Linked DNA regions of Arabidopsis thaliana. The protein of the gene in region 3 interacts with the protein of the main gene of each other region in a pairwise test. Each region holds a gene or a part of one and is shown on either strand. Other genes may lie near its edges.

Region 1 (5,224 bases), on a different chromosome or scaffold from region 3:
TAATATGTTTTTTAAAAAATTAGCTATTATATAAAAAGCATAATCAATAAATAGGAAAATTAAAATAGAAAAACATCTCATTTCATAAGAGAAGTTCTACCAATACATTATTCAAAATTAATAATTAAAATACAAAAAACATAGCTTTTCTCCTCAAACTAAGTAAGTAATAAGAGTCTCATGCTCTCTATTTGCACGAAGCAAATAGGATTGATTACCATTACTCTCTTTTGTGTACCATATTCTATTTCTTTTTTGTTATTAGTTTTTAAACAAAACTGTTTACTAGTCTATGTTCTGTTATGTTTGTTTGAGTTTTTATGTTAAATTTCATAACTTATTATGTATAAAATTATCGTTTGTTATGTCACTGTATTTTTTAATTTAATACATTATTGTTGTATTTTTAAATTTCAATTAACTGGATAACCATATTAGTATTGATTAAATGCCCAATGTATACCTAAAACATATAGATTTGTTCGTGTATTACTGAAAACATATTTAAATTTGAAAATCATTCTGAAAATGAAAATTTTATCCAAATTATGAGTATTCATTAGTCATTAGTCTATTTTCAGAGTGGATCTAGTCTACCATTGGAAATAGCCAAATAGTTTTTTTTTTTTGTCAAAAGGAATATGTTTACTTAAAAATAGAATTTGTAGGCAGATTTGATGTTCATTAGAGATATGATGCAAGAGAGTTATTTTCTCGAGACTATTTTCTCTGATTAATTGTTGGGCTTGTTCGTTTATTAATCGCTGTGACAGCAATAGGGACTCCGACGAAAAGCAAAAATTATAACGGAGATACAAAAACAGTCGTTCAATATGGACGCCGGCGGCGTCCTTAGTGAAAATGTTAAGTTGCTGTTATTTTTTGGCGACACGTGTATATGCCTTATAGGTCGCTGTTTTTAAAATCGAGCGACTCCTCTTCACATAACTTTCTACAGACTTCAACGTAATTGTGTGTTAAGCAACTGTTTTTTTGGTCGCTGGATATGATCGCAGCGTTTGGAAAAAGAACAGGCCAACAAAAAATATTTATATCCTCTTACTATTATAACAACGAAATCGATAAGAAGGAAACAACAAATGAAATGTTCTTTTCTAAAGTCTCAAACTAAGATGTTATCCAAATACATTTGAGAACTAATTACAAAATGATATAACATTAATAAACAACAAACAAAATAAAGCCGAAAACCAAAATAAAAACAAGAAAATAACGAAAACAATAAAAAAAACTGCAGAGAAAAAAGCCAGAAGAATAGCTCTCAAATTCTCTCATTATCATCTCTTTACAAATTCTTCCTTTTTTTGTTACTCTTAACGCTTTTTTCTTCATCGTCCGATTGTACCGTCACTAAGATCGACCCGCCACGTCATTTATCCACAACACCTTAAAAATCTCTAAAATATTCACAAAATCAGATCGAGTCGCCACGTCATCAAAGACTCGATCCAAGTCGACTCAACCGAGTGAGTTCTCTCTACTGAGTCTTGCATACATCTCCGCTCTCAGCTCTTTCCCAGATTCCACAAATTCCATCGCCGGAGCTTCTTCGATCTCAAACTCTCTTATCCTCGGCCACGTTGCCGCCTGAATCGGACGCAGAGACGACGAAAAAGGTAACCTAACTGCAGATCTCATCGGAGAACTCCACGAACAACCACCTCCGTTCAATTGCATTTTCCTCATCGACGCAATAAGTTCACCGGTACTCGGAGAAAGCGGCGGAGATTCCGACGGTGGTGAAAACGAAGGAGAAACAAGAATCGAAGTCGGAGAAGTAGCTAATCCTGAGAAGAATCCAAGATCTGGATCTAACGAACAAGGTAATACACGTAACTGCTCCGTCGTATGAGCGAAGAAACAGATTCTTCTCCGGCAGCTAGTTCCGTCTTTACACGGCTGAGTACGGTAACGAGAAGGATGGAGCCAACACTCGAAAACTCCATGAGAGAACTCACACGAATCACCTCTTCTACAACTTCCTTTACGAAACTCAGGACAAGCGGTGCCGGAGTAATGAAACTTTCTCGGATCACGTCGTCGAGCTTTTTCTCCGGGATGTGCGAACGGACACTCCGTCCAATCATGAGATCGACCTCGAGCGCATCGCCGGATTTTGAACTCGTAGATGCGAAACTCGTCGGAGGAGAATGAGTCGGTGAGTGGTGATGACTCGTCGCCACTTGATGAGTCTGAATCGTTTGTTAACTCGTTTGACGGGAGGTAACGGAAGAGAGAAGCGAAGGAGTCGAGATACGGTGACGGAGAGTGTGGGTAGTCGTTAACGCTGTTAAGGTTGACGGAAGAGAATGGTGAAGAGATTGTGGCCGTTGGATCGTTGATTTGATCCCATTGAGGGATATGGATCGTTGGATGTGGCCGGTTTTTATTTTCGCCGATCATCATTTTTGTTTAGTGAGTCTAGAAGAGAGAGAGGTGTGTGTCTGTGATATAAACTGCTTTATTTTAACCATGGTTGGGTCAAATATTAACTACGGTAAAGTTATGAAAATCTTGACCCTATCCACAATACCGTACGGTAAACAATTAATAAGCGCAAATCTGCAGATGATGACACGTGTAAGAAAAAATCTCCAATTTTTGTTCGTCTTTTGTTTTTTTCCCCTTCATGTTCGTCTTTTTTTTTTTTTTTTTTTCTTCATATTTGTCCCCCCAAAAAAAAAAAAAATGTTTTCAAAGCTTTAAAAATATTTAAAAATTTTCAAATTTATTTTTTAATCAATCACACTTTTAAAACTTTATTAATTTTTAAAGTTTTAAAAGCTTTTTTCTCTCCATTTACTTTTTTTCTTTTGTTTTTTTCCTAAAGTCTTTAACTTTAAAAGAGAATAATAAAACAAAATAAAAATATTTTTTCTTTATCCATAAAATTTCAAAACTCTTTTCAAATTTATTTATATTTTATCATTAAAAAATCGATTGATTAATTCGAATTTTATTTTTTCTGTTCTTTTCAGATCCAATTTAAATATTTAAAATAGTGAATTTGTAAAATGAATTTTGTATTTTTTTAAAATAAATTTATTTTAGTTACTATTTTACCAAATAAATTGATTTTTTAGCATAAATAATATTTATAAAAAATATTAAATAATAATAAAAATAATTGTGATTTTTTTGTACCAATCAGACTTTAACAGTTAAAGTTTCTATCGTCAAAATTTTTACAACCAAAATTTTTACAGTCAAAGTCGTAACATCCGAAATATTTAGAGTTCAAAAGTAACAGCCGTTACCAATCAGCCCCAACATCTACTTTATTACGCTTTCCGTTTTAAATTAATTGTCAGAACATTAAAAAAATAATTAGAATAAATATCAATTTACATTTTTAAAAGCTAATTTTGACTACAAACAAAATTAAAGTTTTATTTGCAGTGATTTATGTTTTAACCAATAAGAAATTTTGTAAAGTAAAAAATAAAACAAATTATTAATATGTGTGTCAAAACCTAAAACAACATTTTTGGAGTATCACTAACCAAAAGTTATATAGTCACATAAAACATAGGGATACATTAATTGAAGAAATTAAGATACACATTAAAAATTGAAAAAAAAAAAATTTCTATCATAACTCAAAGTTTATCACCAAAAATTGTGTTAATTATTCCGTAGCTGTTATTTGTTTATAAAGATTTAGATCATTTTGACCAGACTGTAACTATTAGATCATTTTGAAGAATCGTAGAATCATACTATTTTATTTGCAATTATATGAATTAGTCCACACTAATATTAAGGGTCTAGCGATATGAAACATAAGACATTACAGTAAGAAAATATTTGGACGGTACAGTATATATTACTTGTCACGTGACTTTCAAGGTCGTAGACTACTCCCCATGACCTGACAAGAGTGAATAAATTTGGTTATTGTCCCCCATTTTTTCTAGATCATGGAAGGATGCAACGTACGTAGCTTTTATGAAATAAATTTCGAACATTAATTTTAACTTTTGGCTCTCCAGCTGATGGGAGTAAATTGACATGCTCCAAAGAAAGAAACACAAGTCACCTAGTGATTTTCAAGAAAATGTGCTTCCTTCAAAATATCCGAGGTCTAAGATGAAATAGTTTTAAAAATTGTTATGCGGGGCATATATTATTAGAGTGTTGTGCACTTGTAACCTTCCAGAAAATAAGCAATTTGGACGATATTTTAAGGTTTGGTCCATGTTCCAGTATCGTGTTAGGGTCCACTGCTTCGAGATCTACTTGATTGATACTCTTCCATTTGTTTTCTAATTGTTTGATGCAAAGGTTATCCATTAAGGGAAACTTATCTATATCACGTGGAATACTCACTGCAAAAGATTCGCAATATTAGACTTATAATTGTCACTAATCAGACCATTAAACAAATATCAAATTGATTAATATGTTGAATTTAATAATCCAATTTGACCTCTTTCAGATAGGGCTTTGGGGACAAATCTTCTTAAATCGCACCAAACTTTTATTATAAGATAATTTTTGGTTCGTGGCTATTAAATTAAGCCTGAAAATTTAAACATATGTTTCACTTACAAGCGTCAAGTATGGATAAACAATGATTAATCATAAGCTATCATAATGACAAAAAGAAGTATGATCGTTATCAGTTCTCTTATGCATAAACTATTGATAAAATTATAATAGTCACGAGATGATTGATCGAGCACGATAACTATTATAATAGTCACGAGAGAATGATGTGAAAGTTTAAGAATGCGTCTAAACCAACAATAAAATAATTTAAATAGTTATAATTGAATACACATTCTATATTAGTAAACATTCAAATTATTTAAAATATCTACGAGACACAATAGCCTCCCAACAACCATTCGTACATTCACTTTCTCATTAGAAAGAAAACGTATCCTAATTTGTTGTTTTCTCTATGAATGTTAATATCATCTAATAAGTCCATATAGACTATATCTAATAAATCCATATAGACTATTGTCTCTGAATATCAATGGATTTGAATCTTTGGCCAAAAAATTAAACAAAGAGACAAATGATGTAGAAGTCACATTACATAGTGGGAGTTAAAATTAACCAGAGTTTGCATTAGGTTGCAATAACGCTTGCATTTACGTCTTGCGGTGCTTACGTTCTGAATCTCTTTGTCGATGAGCTTGAAGATAGTTGATATTGGGATCGAGACTTGGTTGTGAACCACATCATTCCTTTG
Region 2 (6,378 bases), on a different chromosome or scaffold from region 3:
ATACCTTTTCTTTCTCTAACATTCGATCTTCTGTTTAGTCCTTTTCAAGATTCCTTTCGTTGTTTCTTGGCAAAGATAAGGATCTTAAACCAGAGACTTGACTTCATAACTTACATATTCTTTGAAACTCTCTTGCTCATCGCTGCCCCTTATCTAAAGTTCCAACATGGGTTCAATCCAAAACACAGTTCACTACTGTTGTGTCTCAAGAGACAATCAGATTATGTACGCTTACAACAATGCCGGAGACCACCGCAACAACGAGAGTCTTGCAGCGTTATGCTTGGAAAAGACTCCACCTTTTCACAAGTGGTACTTCGAAACGAGGGGTAAGAAGACTTTTGGATTCTTGATGAAAGATGACTTCGTTTATTTCGCCATTGTTGATGATGTTTTCAAGAAATCTAGCGTTCTTGATTTTCTTGAAAAACTGAGAGATGAGTTAAAAGAAGCTAATAAGAAGAATTCTAGAGGAAGTTTCTCTGGTAGTATCAGTTTTAGCAATGTTCAAGACCAAATTGTCCGAAGACTCATAGCTTCATTAGAGTTTGATCACACTTGTCTTCCATTATCATCACCTTCCATTGATGGTGCTGAACAAAGCTACGCATCTAACTCCAAAGCTCCTCTTTTAGGAAGATCCAACAAGCAAGATAAGAAGAAAGGGAGAGATCATGCGCACTCACTAAGAGGTATTGAGATAGAGGAACACCGAAAATCAAATGATAGAGGAAACGTAACAGAATGTTCTAATGCTTCATCTGAATCAGCAACGTATGTTCCAAGAAGGGGACGATCTGGTGGCTCTCAGAGCATTGAGAGGAAGTGGCGGCGTCAAGTGAAGATTGTTCTTGCCATTGATATAGCTATTTGCTTAACGCTGCTTGGTGTTTGGTTGGCTATTTGTCATGGCATTGAGTGTACACGTTCTTGATCTATTTATTCTTCCATATGCATTTTCCTCTTCTGCAGTTATGTTGTAGAGATTGCAGTTTGAAATATTCTGCAGCATTGTTGATTGTATATTAGGTATAGGTCTCAAGTTCCTACGTTGGTTTGTGTATAATATGATGATTTTGTTCTTATAGTTGTACATAAAAACCAGTCTGTTGCTGAATGATTGTAGTAAGGCCTCTTGGCATCAAGATAATGAAAGTAGGGATTCATATAGTAGGAGACATTGTCATAACCTCATACAAGAGGATTATATATCAGATCAAAGTAAAATATTGCAATCACAGTTTCATTTTCCAACCACCGAGGATGGAAACTGAAAGCTTTTAGTTTTCTTACATAGAATCAGAAACACACAGCTTACAAGATATAACAACAAATTACATAAAAAGAGAGTTTTTAGTCTTGAAGAAATAGAGGAAAGAAGTACAAAAGAGAGATAAAGAGGTGATGAATACCTCTCACCTGAAATTCCTAACCATGGTTGGTCAACTGGTTTGGTTGATTGTTATGAGAAGAACCTAAAGGGAACCAAAATATCTCCCAAGAGGCAAAAATACATGCAAATGCAAGAACCCCACAATCCATTAGTGGGGTTGGTTCAAGATATGATGAGCAATCTAAATTTTGAATCTTAAAAATGATCTTAATCTAAGTTAGCTCAAGTGTGGCTATAACTCCAAAGCTTAGCCACCGAGAATATACATGTGTTAGCAATTCCTTTATCCTCAAAGGAAGTTTATGTTCTAGCGTTCTACTACAAGACAATGTGTAACAACATGGTCCTAGATCTAATAATCCTAAGACTGCACATTAAAATGGATATAGCGTGAAGTAGTGTGCACACCTTTGCACACACTACTTCAACACTTCCAGGTGGTGGCAATTCACTTCTTGTGCCTTTCCCGGGAAATCCTTATTTCCTTTCTTGTTGATCAGCCAATCCTAAGTTTTTAAGTTTTTCTACAAAATTGCTTGCCTTTGCGAGGCACTGTGCAAAAGACGGTAACTGTTTACTTCTACAGCTCGAACAAGCTATCTTGAACGAAACCTTCGTTCAGAAAGCAGGTAATGCAATGAATAAAATGAAAAGATGAGTAATGTGTATGAAGATGGTCCTAGTTAAACCCCTATGTGAGACTTAACTAGAACTTGCAAAGACGCCCAAACTCCAAATTATGGGCTTCTTTGTCTAATGGGTTAGAAGCATAAAGGGAAAAGGGCAACCATGGTTAGGCCACAGGTCTTGTGAAACTTCAGAGGCATGTGGATGAAAGTAGTAAACAAAGCTTTGCCTTAAGGATTTAAATGAATTGGTCCCCTACATAGCATCATGGAACTATGAACCACGAGCCTTCATGGTCAAGCCTGTGGAACTGCAAAGCAAACTGCTGGAGAACATCAGTACCTCTAGTTTTCCATGTTGTGTATGAACAACGAAAAAATATAAAGAAACTAACCTGATGGTATGACTGGTGAAGGTGCAAGAGACACTGGTGAACCATTGTGATGCGGGTAGTTTCCCCCGGGAGCAGAATAGTGAAACATGTGGTTGGGGTAGTGGAGGGGAGCATAACCAGTGACAGGTCCATTTCCTTCAGCAAACTGGAGATATGGGTAGAACCCTGCTGCTGGTGCTGCTGCTACACCAGTCATTGGTCCGCTTCCATACATTGGATGCTGAGCAGTTGCCCCTCCATAAACATTGTAATAGCTCTGCTGTAAAAACAATAATCCAATAAGCTATAAGAGATAAGAGTAGAGTAGGGAGAGACTCTTACAATATACATACCGTGGGGTAATTGTAATCCATTGAGTATGAAGAGAACCTAAGAAAGTTTAATGAAACCAAACAGAGGATTTATCAGTCTAAGTAGAGTGATGAGTATAGAAAAATCAAGTAAGAGATTAAACGTGGAGTACCCAAAAGGATTAGTGTAAGGAAGTGTGTAGTGGGAGAATGGAAGTGGGGAAGGAATAGCAGTAGCCGCGGTCCCAAAGTGTGTCTTGAAAGGGCTAGTCACCTTCATGCCTCTTCCTCCTACATGTCCTGCCATAACACAACAACATGAGAATCTCCTCTCAAACATTTGCTTTCAGACAAGAACAAAACACAACATATTTAACCAGAAGATTTAACTAACTAGTGTAGTCTGCAGAAGAATTATAAAGACTAGTGAGCAAGAAAATGGCTTTACTGAATCAACTAAGGAATCAAGATGAAGCTATACCTCAAACAATAAAGTAAGACAATTCATAAAGTATCTAACTTTGCTACTAATATGTGAGACATGTGATTCAAGACATACAATTCCAGCAAGATCCATGGATTTACATATACTCTTGATGTAGGGTTTTCAAAAGTAAAGTATCAAAAGACAGAAACCTAAAAGTACCATGAATAGGAGAAGAAGGTTTGGATCTCTGAACACCAAAAGCAGCAAGATTACAATTAGCTCTTCTTCCATCAATAACAGGAGCTGGATCTACACAAGCTTTCTGAGCTGCTTCCGGATCACAAAAAGTAACCTTTACAAAAAAAAAACAGAACCCGTGAGCTTGAAGCTATAACAAATCTCCAAAGTAAAAAGAAACAAGAAGAAGAAGAAACTTACAAAGCCATAGCCTTTAGATCTACCACTAGATTTATCAGTGATAACGACAGCTTCAACAATGTCACCAAACTGTTCAAAGTAATTCCTGAGAGAGACTTTGTGTGTTTCCCAAGCTAATCCTCCAACGAACACTTTGGTAAATGTTGTGTCTTCCATTTCAGAAACAAGGGAAAATTCCACGAAGTAAAGTTTCCGGTTTTGGGAACAGAAGAAGCAGAGAGACGGTAGTTGAGAAACGAGAGAGAGAGAAGAAGGAGGAGGGAAGAGGATTCAAGGAAAAGTCTCAGGGAAAAAAGAGAGAATTTGGGGACACACTCATTGAATTATTTAACTTAGCTTTTCACAAATATCAATGACATTTTTTTTATTTTATGTACGGTCACTGTGTGTTTTTGTACACTTTTTTCTTGTTGGTCGGATCCACTCTGTAAAATAGATTTACAGTTGGAAAACATTTATTTTAGCTATTATTTAATTTTTGGTCTTTTATATTGGTGGAAAATCTTAAAATTGAAATTTTCTGTATTTTTAATTCTACCAAAAAAAGATATTCAACAAAAAAAACTTTCCCTTAGCAAATAACTAACCGAGAAATAACATACACAAAAAAAAAAAAATATAACTAACAGAGATATACTATATATAAAAAAATACATTTTTTTTTGACCAATATTAAATTATAGCTCAAAAGAGTTTTTTTTTTTTTTTAGTTTACATATCCCTCAAAATAAGTTGAACTACTGAATATATTTAGCATTTTAACATTTTCACAAAAGTTGGTCAAAAAAATTAATATACCAACCTTTTAATTTTTTATTATCTTCATAAGAATCCATATTATGATTGCACACAAGTTGTGTAACTTATTTGTAAGACATCAAATGATTCATGCATATGCATATTTCTTAGAACATGATTTAATGTGTTAGCCTACATATTTATATGTAAATCAAATCAAATCTAAAATTGATTGATAGTTAGCAAAATATTTCAGAATTTTAGTGATTAAAATTATGCCGATTTACATTCATTTACAAAAAAAAATGAGCAAAATGTTACGAAAAAGGTAATCTTAGTTTACAAATAGTTTTTTTTTTAATATCATTATTCCTTCCTGTTTTTAACTATAACGCTTATTAATTTTCTATTCGTTAAAAAAAATTATGAAGAATTATTGGTCTTCGTTTACAAAAAAATTTACTGACTTACAGATTTTTCCACTATCTTAGTTTACAAAAAAATTATTGGTTTGTATCACTTTTCATGACAATCTAAAATCTAGTTTACTAATTTGGAGATAAATTCTACTATTCTAAATACAAAATTATGAATTCTACATTTTGAAGTAAACATTTACTGACTTACAGATTTTTCCAGCCAAACTTAATAAGATAGATAATGTATATGAAGAATTAAATTAAAAATTGGTTAATATAACACTTAAGTCTATAATTCTTCTTTATGAGATCTCACAACTACAACAAGAAAAAGTCGGTCCTATTATCTTCAGCCAAAAGTGATTTTTCTAAAACTAGATCAATCTTACAAAATCATGTTTTGTATTACAATGTTAGTATGACTGATTTTTGAGCCATAAATTATTTCGATTCTCAGCTTTCACCCCGGACTTTTGGGCCCTTAAATTTCCACCATCAACTTTCATATTCCTCAAAATTACATTATCTACTTTCGAATTCATGCTTAAACATACATTTCCAATTGAACCATTCATTTAACCGGGATTAACCACAAATCTGCGTTTACTGTACCGCGATTGCGATTAACCCGACTAATACCCAGACCCGTTAAGAAAACGACGTCGTTTTCATTTCGTTTAACTCATCAAAAAGAGAAAGAAAACGATGTCGTTTTCATTCTTCTTTAACTCTCAAATCGATTTGGTCGTTCTTCTTTAATCTCGACACTGTGAAATTAGGGTTCTTGAGAGAGAAAGACAAAAGGAGATTTGGGGTTTTCTTCTTCGATTCGAATTTCTGGGTCTCGATTTGGGTTTCGAATAGGGAGAAATGAAGAATTGGTGGGAGGAAGGATTGATTTACCAAATCGATCCAGATGACCCCGATTTCGAACCTCCAGAGAGTGACATTGAAGCCGACGATGGAAGTGATAGTGGTGATAGCGGAGTCGAGGAGGACGAAGCCACCGGAGTTGAGGGAGACGACGTCGGGATAGATGGAGACAGAGAATCTGATGGAGAGGAGAATAGAGAAGACGATGGTGATATAGCGTCTGATGGAGACATCAATCTAGAAGACGATGGAGACAGAGATGAAAGTCAAAAGAAGAGGACGAGAGAAGAGAAAAGAAAGGAGGAAGAGGCTGAAGAAGGTCAAAAGAAGAGGAGAAAACAGAAGAAGGATGAGCCGGAAGAAGATTTGGCCGAGAGGTTTGAGTTCGAGATAGAGGAAGCAGTAGCTATGTGGTATGATGAGTTAAAGATTAGAAGGAACGAAATACCAGAAAGTGATAATGAAGAAGAAGATCATGTGATCACTAGAGATAGGAAGATTAGGTTAGCTTCGGATGATAGGTTAGCTATAGGCAGAACATTCTTCACTGGTTTTGAATTCAAAGAGGTTGTCTTGCATTATGCAATGAAGCATAGGATAAATGCTAAACAAAATAGGTGGGAAAAAGATAAAATTAGCTTTAGATGTGCTCAAAGGAAGGAGTGTGAATGGTATGTCTATGCCTCATACTCTCACGAGAGGCAATTGTGGGTTTTGAAGACCAAATGTCTGGATCATTCTTGTACTTCTAATGGAAAATGCAAGCTGTTGAAGAGGAG
Region 3 (6,144 bases):
GAGGAAAATGAATCAAAGTCATTAGAGAGGAGAAGATAAGACTATCCTCGTCGCCGGCAGTAATACTCCGAGATACAGAACAATTCACCGAAGCTGCTGACTCATTTATCTAATTATTTATTTATGTTCCATATTTTATTTCAATTCTGTCTCTATCTACAATATAATTAGTGTCTTGTAACTTAATTTTTCTTGCTACACCAAAACTCTTTATTCCTTCGAAACCTGGCAGCCTCAGGCACCATCCTGTAAAAATCTTGGATAGTATAACCAGAGGTTGGAGTTGGTTGTTTGTGATCTGCGCTAGAGAATTGCTCTAGCTCATCGAAATGTAAACTTCTTCTTATGTTGCCTTGTGAATCGATAATGGGTTGTGGAATGGATGGGCAAGACTTTTACATCTTATGGTCGTCCTGTGAAACAGAAACGATAGGTCAAATGTCTTTTGGTTTTTAGTTTGTTTTGTCTTTCTCTTCCGTATTTCCTCTCTTTCTTTTGCTCTTCATGGCGTTCGAACTCTCAAAGACCTAGTTAACTTCCATGACATACTAAATACTATGCACAAAGGATATTGGGTATGCCCTATGTTTTGTCTTTAACAATTATTTTATATACATGCAGACTATTATCTAGCGGTCTATGAGATGAGTGGGAACCGTGTCGCAGTCATATTTGACAATACAGGGTATACAACATCAGAGGAAAGCGAAACCAACAGAGCACTCCCACAAACTACATATGCGATGGATAGAGGGTATATTTACTTCATACTGTTCTCTATGGTTGATGTGTAGTCGCTGTATATTCGGAGAAATTTTCCTGTATCTAGACAGTTGACATCATACGAACACGTAGCTAACGTTTAGCACCAGCTTAAATTGAACTTGAACTTAACTACAGTAAAACCTTTACAAATTAATAATGTTGGGATTCTAAAATTTTATTAATTTATAAAGAAATTTTTCATAGTAATTTTTTACTATAAGATTTCTTTCATTATAAAAAATATTTTTTTTATAACTAATTATAAGTAAAAAATAATTCTCATGTCTAAAAAATAACACCAAATTTTTTTTGATACAGTAAAATATTAGAACTAAATTCAAATAAGTACAAATGAGAACTAAATATTAAAAATATATTTCAAAGAAATTTCTTACATATAATATATATATAAATATATATTGTTGATATATCTATATCATTACTAATTTATGATATTAATGAAACCATATATTTATGGTGAAACTATATTTACCGATTTAAATGTAATTCTTTTTGTACAATAGTATAAATAATCTATGATTTTTAAAAAAAAATCAAGATATAAGTTTGTTTAATTTATAGGATTAATAAAATTAGTAGATTTGGACACTGGAAATTACAAATCATCCGAGTTTTAGAACTAAAGCAGACCTATTAAGGATGAAAATCATCTGAGAAATGACTATCCGAGGAAAACGAATGCCACGGTGCATCAAAACACTGCTTTAAACAGCTAAGTGCATTTTGTACTCGCACTATATACAGTACTCATCGAAACGATACTTGGATACTTGAGATGATCAACATCAGATTCTTTCGAATCATTTTGCATCATCAGGTTTTTGGCCACCAGCTACGCTACTGGAAGAACTGTGGTCTCGTACGCTCGGAGAAGATGAACACTTGCTAGAATGAGAGCTTTCTTCTATTGAGTTGTTGTTGTTGTTTCTCTTACATCTCTTTGTCTTCTCTGGCCTTTGCAATGTATCCTTCAAAATACAATTTCGCGAATAACTGTGAAGATAATAAATCCGAAAAAAATTGGAGATCTCTAGCTTCTAGTTTTAAGTCTCTCTACCTTATCAGAAGTAGATCCAGGGGTTTTTAATTCGAGTTGTGTTGCAACTTCGTTGGAGTCCTCTGCTTTCTCAGATCTGCTCTCTCTTGAAACCTTTGCTCTAGGTTCCCGAGAACGGTTACCGGGGTTCTGTGGAATGTGCACGGATTGTTGCTCAACGACTGTATTAGGAGGCATGTAGGGCATGTATGTAGGACATGGAGCTGGGATCATGCTAGGGTTCTGGTTCCCAAAGTATGTGTAAGATGGCATTGATGGATGCATTGGGATTGACCCGGGAGGCATAGCAATAGGCATAGGGTATGGAAAGGAGGGTGGTGGAGCCATCATGACTGTGTGATCCATCGCAGCTCCCCATGGAGACATTGACCTTAATCTCTGCTGGTATTGAAGATTGAGATTCTCTATATCTGATTTCAGCGATGTCTTTTCTTCTCTCAGGTCGTTTTTCTCCTGTGTCAACTACAGAAAGAACCGTTGTTATACAAGTACCAGTAAATTTGTAAGTGTTGCTATTGATGATAACAACAAGTCCTATAAGCAGTTACATTATATAGCCCGTCTGAGTTTGCATCTTACGAAATAGGTGTAGTCACCATATCGTAAAAGCAAAAAGACAATGAGTTATCTATATTGGGATCCCTATCGATATCTTTACGTCATGTAGACTGCTAATTTTTTCTGTTAGGAAAAGCCTGGAGCGTAAGGGATAAGGTACGAACCTCGCGGGACTCATCTGTCAATGCGGTGTACTCAGATTTCAGTTTGTTGACTTCAGATGTGAGCTCTTTCAACAACTGAACAGTATCAGTCAGAATCGTGGCTTTGTCATTCTTGGGTCTCTCTGGATCTGCAAACAGAAGAGCTATGTGAGGATCAAAGTGAGATCATCTGCTGTTTAGAAAAATCCACATAACCATTGAGTCTATACCGAGTACATTTCCCAGTTCAACAAAATGCTCATTCAGTTTTTCCCTCCTCAACTTTTCGCGCCCAGCTTTTTGTGACTTTCTAGCAGAAACGTCCATGACCTCCTCTTCTGCAACCAAAACATCGAATAAACTAAGAAGGTCATATTGCAGTCCCACTCTTAGACATATTTTAGTATCCAATTCCACCATAACAGCACATCGACCACACACACTGTAGCCTCAGAACTAAGCCTTGATTGACTTAACATAATTCTCTTTGAGTCGATAGTCAGGTATCATATGATCCCAGCTCACATACCAGACATAGTTACATACTTAGCAATTGGCATCATGAATTGCAAAGAAGGTTACTAGAGAAGCTAATCTCAAACAGAAAATTCCACATTCTTTTGTACACCTAATTTGGCAATAATAACATCTATCTCTATCAACAAGTTAGAGATTTAAACATCTACGAAAAAATTACTAAACGTTGTTGAAGAAGAACACAGGGAAGGAATTGATTTCCACGACGAACTAACAACACTTTCACGAGCTAGAGAGCTAAGTTCAAACCAATAAAACCCTCAAAATCAAAATAAAAATTCCTTTGATTAAGAGAAGTACCAGATTGTGATCGAAACCCTAAATAGGACGATGAATTCAGGACGATCAAATTGAAGAAAACAATAAGGCAGAGATTCACCGGCGGGAAGAATCGACGGCGACGGAGAGATTCGATGAGCTAAGAGAAGACAAGGTGGTTCGGCGAAGATCGATTCTCGATTCTCTAGCCTCCTCGCTCGCTCTCTCTCTCTGCTCACAAGCATTATTCCATTTTCTCTTATCCCCATTTTTTCAATTATTTTAATTAAAAAAAACAATATTCATTCTATCTACAATTCTGTATTTTTAAAAAAAAACAATTGTGTAGAATTTAATATGTCCAACTTCGCAAAAGCTGGAATTGTTTTTTTCTTTTCACTCCAATTTATGCATTTATCAAAACAGACACTCATTGTTGATTTTAAAAGATTCAATTGTACTTTTTATCCAACACAATTATAAAGTTTGAAAAGTAAGTACGAGATTTTTATTGTGAAACTAAATTAACTCTTTTATATCTTGAATCGAGATGGTGACATAATTGTACCGGACAAAATATCGAAAATTTTAAAAAATATTTTTACATAACCTCGACTATTTTTGTGTAATAATCAAATCATTTAAAATTGTCAAATTATAAAAATAGTTTTCACAAACGTAAGAGATACGTACTTCTAGATATACATACTTTCTGCAAGCTTTTAGTATATTTAGAAATTGTAAAAAAATACGTACTTTATGTTCTTACAACTTGACTGCAAAGTAGGTGTACTTTGACAGTTTCTTCTTCCACTACCCAATTGAATCCATCAACAAATATTTTGGCCAAAATGCACATCAAATTTTAATGTTCGTACCGCGTTTCGAATGATTTGCCGCTCTGTTGTAATATTTGAATTATAATCAGTTCGTTGATGAAGCAAATAAATCATGGTTCTTGAACAGTGTTAGCCGACTAGTTTTTATGTCTTAACCATTTTTTTCTTGCTCTCTAGAGCACTGCTTGAACATTATGATATTGTATAATTTTTGGCATAGAAATGTAAACTTGACAAAATTTTTGATGATTACTTAAGTTTTGGTCTCGAGATTCTAAAGATTTGCACAAAAAAACAAAGGATTGTTCTTCTAAAAGAAAAAGTTAAATCGAAAAGGACACAAAATTTATGTAATTTTATTGTATCCTCTTTTTGGGCTAGCTTTAGTCGATGAGGCCAAATGGGCCTGTTAATTATTTATTTTTACTTTAGTATTTTTTAAGTGGGCTTCTTCCTTTGGGGCTTTACATTTTTGTTGGTCCCTGTAAAATCCTGTTAAAGGGCTTAAATACTAGAGCACAAAAATTTTAAAACAATAAAACCTAAATCCTCTCGTCGCCTTCGTTTCTTCGTCCCACTCCCATCCCATTGATGAACCCTCAGAAGACTTTGCCCTAAACCTCACATACTATTCATAATTTGTATGGATATTAAAATGATATTTTATTTGGAAACTTCATTTTTAATAATAAATAAAAACTATTATCGGAAGTTAGTCATATTTTTTTATTTTGTACTCAAAGAGTCGTAATGTATATCGACATTGGTGTATCTTTTTTTTATAACATTTTTGTTACATATATCGTTTTCAATTACATATATTTTACATGGCTGGATTTGGATAATGATGAAAAGCAAGTAGTCGACTTTATTCACAAACGTTAGAGTCATAAAACCCTACCCGGCCCATTCACATGCAATGAAAGTGAAACTCCCAACTTTACAAGCAACTGATATATAAATATTCTACAAATAAAAAGGGAAGAAAACTCTTGAAATTACATGGAAGTGGAATAATAGTATTACGAATTTATAATGTAATGCCAAGAAAGGGAGAATATTTATAATTCACATAAAAACAAAGGGGGCACATTCATATATACGTTACGTGTGTATAAAACAGCATATAAATACAGAATATATATATTACAACTTGAGTAGCATAGTCCTTGAGCTATTGACAAGTCATAAGTGAGAGTTCATGAAGCATCATTTTCTGTGCTACTGGAAATATATATTTGATATTAGTCGTGACCTATAGTTCACTGTCTAAAATGTAAATCTTATTTGATTTGATGCAATACATTTTTACTTTACCCCAAATAACCTGAATAATGTTGGTCATAATTATGAATTATTCTCAACAAATTGTAAGCTATTTCCCTGCTGTTTGTTTACCCACCTACTGTATTTTTTTTTTCTTCCTCTAACACCAATTTTTATTTTATTTTTTGGCCATCCTGATCAATGAAGCATTAAGGAATCAATCTTTGCACCTGGTTATTTTTAGTAACAACTAACAACGCCTCGTCATATTGATTTGTGCTCTGCACACAAGATTATATGGATTTCAAAATAAACATGCAGTCAATTAATGCAGTTTATATAACTTTTCTTAAGTTCGATGTTAGAAAAAAGGTTTTCTAATGTAAAGAAGTAAACTATGCATGTCAAGCTAATTGCTCCAAAATTAATATCATATAGTACATTTCGATTAAGCAATGAATCTTATTATCTAATACCAAAAAAACTAAACAATAACGAACAATAATTTTTTCATTACAAACGGCAACAAATTATTACATTTTCACTATTTTAGATGGTCTACACACTAGGGTTACAAGTTGGTCCATGCGACCAGTTTATACAATTTTTCGATGACGTTTGTATATAAGTTCCTTTTGCATAAATTTATATGAGTTATAAAGGATGATAAAAGAAAGTGTACATTAGATAATTGAAATAA
Region 4 (5,585 bases), on a different chromosome or scaffold from region 3:
CCTGAATATATCATTCCTCTGATACGGTCTCTTTAACTTTGTGGGTTTTTTTTTTTTTCCTTGAATAGCTTTTGTTTTATATATTATTGGATTTCTCAACTTTATTTATCCACTTTGAATTGATAACTACAACTCTACAAGCTACAGCCATCCTAACGAAAACTGAAATATCTTATTCTCCTTTTAAAGTGAAACGTTGTTCTCGTTCACCATCAAGAAGGATAATATATACAACAAGATCAAGATAAGTAATACTAGTGAAACGGTTTCTGTAATGACATTAGAAAAACCGAGACACCAAAAAACGTGAAAACTTTAACAGAGATTCGGTTATTAGTGCGAAGTTCGATATTTGATCAAAATCAACACATTTGTAACGTCTAGATGGTGAGTAAACAGCAGCACACAATGACACACAAACAAAAAAAACACTAATCCATTATACAACAATTGATCCTACCGTCAACCTGGTGGGCTGAGATGGGCTGTTAGGAGATAATAAATATAGGCCTGGATAAATCATTTTTTAAGTACTGGTGCAATAAGTAAGTTGTCTTCACTTTGAGTTCAAGTTTTGTTCATACTGAAGCTTTTTTCTTTTTCTTTTCACAATCCTACTATATATATACGTTTTTAAGTAAGATTCACCGTATATATTTATTTTCTTTGGTAGGGAAAGATTCAGCGTATAATAATAATTAGCAGTGGTCAACAGGGTAAAAAACAACAGTAAGTAGATTTGTAAACCGGGATTAAGAATATAGATTTCAATGATAGGAAACAGAGAAGAAAGCATAAAATAAGGATAGAAGACAAGAGAAGCTATAGGTACACCAAACTCTCCAATCTAAAAGAAGAATCCAAAGAAAGCTGGGCCAAAGAGAATCCAATGGGTTATAATATGGCTCATCACTAAGTCAGTCATGTAATTAAGATTATGTATATATATATGGACAAATTTGTATGCAACTATTTTCATCTATATTTAAATTCCTTATCATTTGGTCGATTGATAATGCTTACGTAAATAATGTCTTGTTCTGGATATTTCCGTTTGTGTCTCTATATTGTCCCGGTGGTTGAATGTTCTACTCCTAGACATAAACTAGAAAATAATCATCTAATGTATAATTTTAAAAATAAATGATTATTATACTGGTAAATTTTTTAAATTAATGAGCTTTGTTAGTAAAAAATCTCAACTTAATTAATCAAAAAATCATCTAATGTAAATTATTCTTTTCTGTAATATATATATATATATATATATATATATAATTCAAGTATTAGAATATTTAAATTTTGTGAGTATTAATCTAATTTTCCTATCATCTAATGACAATAAATAAAATGTATCTATATTTGTGTGAATATGGACTTTTTGGTATTTAGATAGACTGCTTCTGCTTGGTCTCGATACTTGACTTAGGGTCGCACATGCAAACCTCATTATTTTCTTCCATAATGTTGACAATTAAAAAAATTACCGAAACGAAAACACTTTCCGGAAAAAACGATGAGGCGTTATATCATTTAAAGAAAAAACGACGATACTAATTAAATAAACAAAAGTTCCGATAATTTTTACGTATAGGTTACGAAGACAATGACTTGAATAGAATTGTGAAGCAAGTATAAATTTCAAGTTTTGGCTGAAAAATTAAAGTAATAATTTGTGTATTAGTGTAAAAAAAAAAGTCACAGAATTAAGTAGAAGAGCTAATTATTTACACGTTCCGACAAAACACTACTACGCCCCCGACTACGATACGGCATGAGTCATGACCACATATTATATTTTTCTTTATCTTCATGTTTTTGTCGACCATGGTCACATTTCATTGTTTGGCCTGGTTATTCGACAGAGATCAATTTTATTGGCAATTAATGAGTCAGATTAGATCATATTAAAATCTAAGTGCGCCCGTGGAACATGGGCGGCGGACACCGACCACCTACAAATTCTACTGTTTAAACGACACGTGGAAACTATTTATTTTCTTTTTGGGTCGCCGCTCCTTAACTTATAAGTCCTGACTGGCCCAACAATTTTTTTTTTCTTTTTGGTTTTTCTTAAAGGTTTCTTATTGAATTAGATGATAGGGATTGCAAAAGACGGTGAAGCTAATACTCTTCTATAGAATAATTGAGAAAAATATAACCTAGAATGTGTCAGAAAAGTTAGATCGCAACCAAAATTTATCAATCAACGGAATGTCAGTTAATCGGTCAGGAAAAGAGGCAATTAAAAGTGTTTATTTATTTTGCCACAAGTGCTCTTTATCGCATTTTTAAAAAGTTGTATACCACCATTTTGACTGTTGACCCAAAAATATAACACAAATTGGACTAAAAAAGCATAAGGAAAAAACTTTTCGGTGTAAACAAAATACATAACTTGAAGAATGGATATTGAAAAGAAAAAAGTAATTCAGTTTCTTGAAAAGTACCAACCAACGACTATAAAAAAAAACTAACAATCTACTTCATTGATACGATCAAACTAGCTGTTAATATTTGTATCAAGTCGATTGCATCCAGACATGTTATTTCCATAAAATAAAATAGCAACGGCTCTCTCCAACTATAAATCAAATAACATTTAGATTATGGTAATGTAAATATTCAGATATGGAAGTAGCCGTTTAACCGTATGTGAAATCTCAAACGGTCAATTTCCAAATTAGGAACTAAAATAACCGTTGGTTAAATAGTTTCCTTTAACGATTGTCAAAGAATCATTACCGTCTTCTTATTTGTCTTTTCCTTTGTAATGAAACTATATATTATAATTTCAATATAGAACAAAAGAATAACATAAATTAAGTTTTTTTTGTCCTTTTCTGCCTTTACCTTTCCTTCTACTCCCGAAAAAGCACTGACTTTGCTCTGTTTCCTTCGTTCACACAGAGAAAGAGAGAAATCTTCTGAGCGAAATTCTGACAAAAGAGATGATGGAATGGGATAATCAGCTACAACCCAATAACCATCACTCTTCTAATCTTCAAGGGATCGACGTTAATGGCGGCTCCGGCGCCGGAGGAGGAATGTACGTGAAGGTGATGACCGATGAGCAGTATGAAACTCTCAGGAAACAGATTGCTATTTACGGCACCATTTGTGAGCGTCTTGTTGAGATGCATAAAACTCTCACTGCTCAACAAGATCTTGCAGGTTTCTATCCTTTCTTCTATCATTTAGTTTCTTCTTCTCTGTTCATCTAAAGATAAAAAAAGGACTCCTTTTGAAATTTTTAAAAAAATTCAGAATTTTTGTGTGGTTTAATTGATTTTTTAGTGATTCTTCTTCACTTTGGTGTATGGGTAATTGAAAATTCTCTGCCTTTTAAGCATTTGTTGGCTTAAATCTGATTCAAAGACCAATCCTTTTCGTGGATTTTTGAGCTAAGAATAAGGAAAATAATGGTTCTTGAGGAATTCTAGAATCACTCCTTTGAATCTTTCAATTGAGCTTCGAGAATTTCCCACCAAAATAGGTGTTTTTAGCTTGATGATGTGTTCTTGAGATATAAAGTTTCAGTTTTTTTATTTAGTTTAACTTTTAACAACTCTGCTCATTTGTCTGTTGTTGGTAACAGGAGGGAGAATGGGAGGACTATATGCAGACCCAATGATGTCATCTTTAGGTCATAAGATGACAGCTAGACAGAGGTGGACTCCTACGCCAGTCCAGCTTCAGATTCTGGAACGTATATTCGATCAAGGCACGGGAACACCGAGCAAGCAGAAGATCAAAGACATAACAGAAGAGCTGAGCCAACACGGCCAGATTGCTGAACAAAATGTCTATAACTGGTTCCAGAACCGACGTGCTCGATCCAAGAGGAAGCAGCATGGTGGAGGTTCTTCTGGAAATAATAATGGTGAGTCTGAGGTAGAGACTGAAGTTGAAGCATTGAATGAGAAGAGAGTAGTGAGGCCAGAGAGTCTTCTTGGTCTTCCAGATGGAAATAGCAACAATAATGGGTTAGGGACAACAACAGCAACAACTACTGCTCCTAGGCCTGAAGATCTTTGCTTTCAGAGCCCTGAGATTAGCTCAGACCTTCACTTGCTAGATGTTCTATCAAACCCAAGTAAGTAACAAAGATACCTTTTTAGTTCACACGTAACTGAAAAAAACAGAGACATTGGCTTTGAAGAAATAGTCAAGTAAGTTGTGTCTGTCTCAGATAATTTCTTGTGATTTGTGTTTGTAGGGGATGAGCATCTTGTTGGAAAGATGGGACTGGCGGAAAGTTACAACCTTTATGATCATGTTGAAGATTATGGCATGTCAGGCTGATTGAATACAAGCTGAGGAAACTTCTAATTATCAGAGAGATCAATGAAATGGATTTGGTAGTCAGTCATAAGCAGTATTAGACTTTTGTTTTTCTTAAATTGTTTCTTTCAGGGCTTATTAAAGAAACAAGTAGTTTATCTTATTAATCATTTTCAGAGAAACATTTACATGGATTGTTGAATCGTCTTGTGATGCTTGCTTTGATAATTTCTGCATTCAGAACGATTTTTACATCCTTAAATGAATTATACTGTAAGAAATAAAAAAATTCCAAGAGAAAAACATTTCAATTCAAACCTCTCCAGAGTTGAAAACATGCAAGTCTAACAAAGTTTTGTAATGGCCTTTCTCTATTTCTTCCTCATTCACATTGTGTAAGACCAGAGTCTGTATAACCAAATCCTCCCAATCAATTTCAGATCCTTTCTTCCTTTTCTTCTTGCTATGTTCAAGCTCCAAAGACAACGCACCTTCACTAACATTGTCAGAAGGATGTTGTATTGCATTAATCCGCAACTTAGCTGCCTTAATCTTTTCTCTTCGTCTTTCAACTGCAACGCAACCCTTTATGTAAGAAGGAGGCAAAGCTTCAAGCCCTACATCTTTCTCCAACAAGTCTTTGAGCAAAAGCCTTTTACTCAATTCCGATTTCCCTTTCCACCAATTTTCAGTTGACACCATTCCAAAAACAGATCTCCTTTGCCACATACTCTGACTACTTCCCTGACTTCTTTTCGCAAGAGTCCCACCACAAACTCGATCCTCAAATTCATTATACTTTGTAGACAACTGATTCTCCGATATATTATCATCATAGTTACATAAACTAAGCTGACGTTCACCTTCTACATCAAAATACCGAGACATAGTATCTTGACGAGCATCATCATCATAACAATACATAGATTCTTTGCTTAGGCAGTCCATCACTAAATCCTCCACACAAAATCCATCAGTTCTAACTAATTCTTTCCCAGTCCCTTGTTTTCTCTTTTTCATGGACTTGGCTTCCATTAAAGCAAACAAAGTTCCTGAATGTTTCAAAACATTCTTCACAGTAACATCTTTCGCCCAAGGCAAACCCACCTCTTCAGCAACCTTCACAAGCTTCTCAGATAACTCTTTATACCGCGTTTTACAAGTAGTCAACGAAACACTAGCATCTTTCGCCAAATCATCAATCTTTACCTTCACACCATTCACTTGAACAACAAACGCCAAAACAGCCACAACCAAAGGCATTGGTCTCCTCCCCGTCGACAAAAACCATTTCAACGCAC

What was found.
Region 1: the proteins of bHLH121 (region 3) and ATCTH interact in a two-hybrid assay, tested with the Arabidopsis thaliana proteins (one large-scale study listed by BioGRID).
Region 2: the proteins of bHLH121 (region 3) and AT1G33470 interact in a two-hybrid assay, tested with the Arabidopsis thaliana proteins (one large-scale study listed by BioGRID).
Region 4: the proteins of bHLH121 (region 3) and WOX13 interact in a two-hybrid assay, tested with the Arabidopsis thaliana proteins (one large-scale study listed by BioGRID).

Annotation. Positions count from the first base shown.
Region 1 is NC_003071.7:11,039,020-11,044,243, reverse strand, and holds ATCTH (Zinc finger C-x8-C-x5-C-x3-H type family protein), read right to left. Parts: upstream 2,914-5,224; 5' UTR 2,771-2,913; intron 2,679-2,770; 5' UTR 2,428-2,678; coding exon 1,480-2,427; 3' UTR 988-1,479; downstream 1-987.
Region 2 is NC_003070.9:12,141,979-12,148,356, reverse strand, and holds AT1G33470 (RNA-binding (RRM/RBD/RNP motifs) family protein), read right to left. Parts: upstream 3,918-6,378; 5' UTR 3,726-3,917; coding exon 3,570-3,725; intron 3,484-3,569; coding exon 3,351-3,483; intron 3,005-3,350; coding exon 2,878-3,004; intron 2,784-2,877; coding exon 2,747-2,783; intron 2,674-2,746; coding exon 2,415-2,673; intron 2,343-2,414; coding exon 2,317-2,342; 3' UTR 1,149-2,316; downstream 1-1,148. Other genes in the region: AT1G33475 (SNARE-like superfamily protein), read left to right, coding at 167-934.
Region 3 is NC_003074.8:6,901,306-6,907,449, reverse strand, and holds bHLH121 (basic helix-loop-helix (bHLH) DNA-binding superfamily protein), read right to left. Parts: upstream 3,694-6,144; 5' UTR 3,609-3,693; coding exon 3,461-3,608; exon of another isoform or gene 2,965-3,460; coding exon of another isoform or gene 2,883-2,964; coding exon 2,775-2,882; intron 2,694-2,774; coding exon 2,566-2,693; intron 2,306-2,565; coding exon 1,844-2,305; intron 1,755-1,843; coding exon 1,587-1,754; 3' UTR 1,243-1,586; downstream 1-1,242.
Region 4 is NC_003075.7:16,874,534-16,880,118, reverse strand, and holds WOX13 (WUSCHEL related homeobox 13), read left to right. Parts: upstream 1-2,667; 5' UTR 2,668-2,951; coding exon 2,952-3,174; intron 3,175-3,598; coding exon 3,599-4,096; intron 4,097-4,219; coding exon 4,220-4,305; 3' UTR 4,306-4,596; downstream 4,597-5,585. Other genes in the region: AT4G35540 (POLLEN-EXPRESSED TRANSCRIPTION FACTOR 2), read right to left, coding at 4,597-5,585.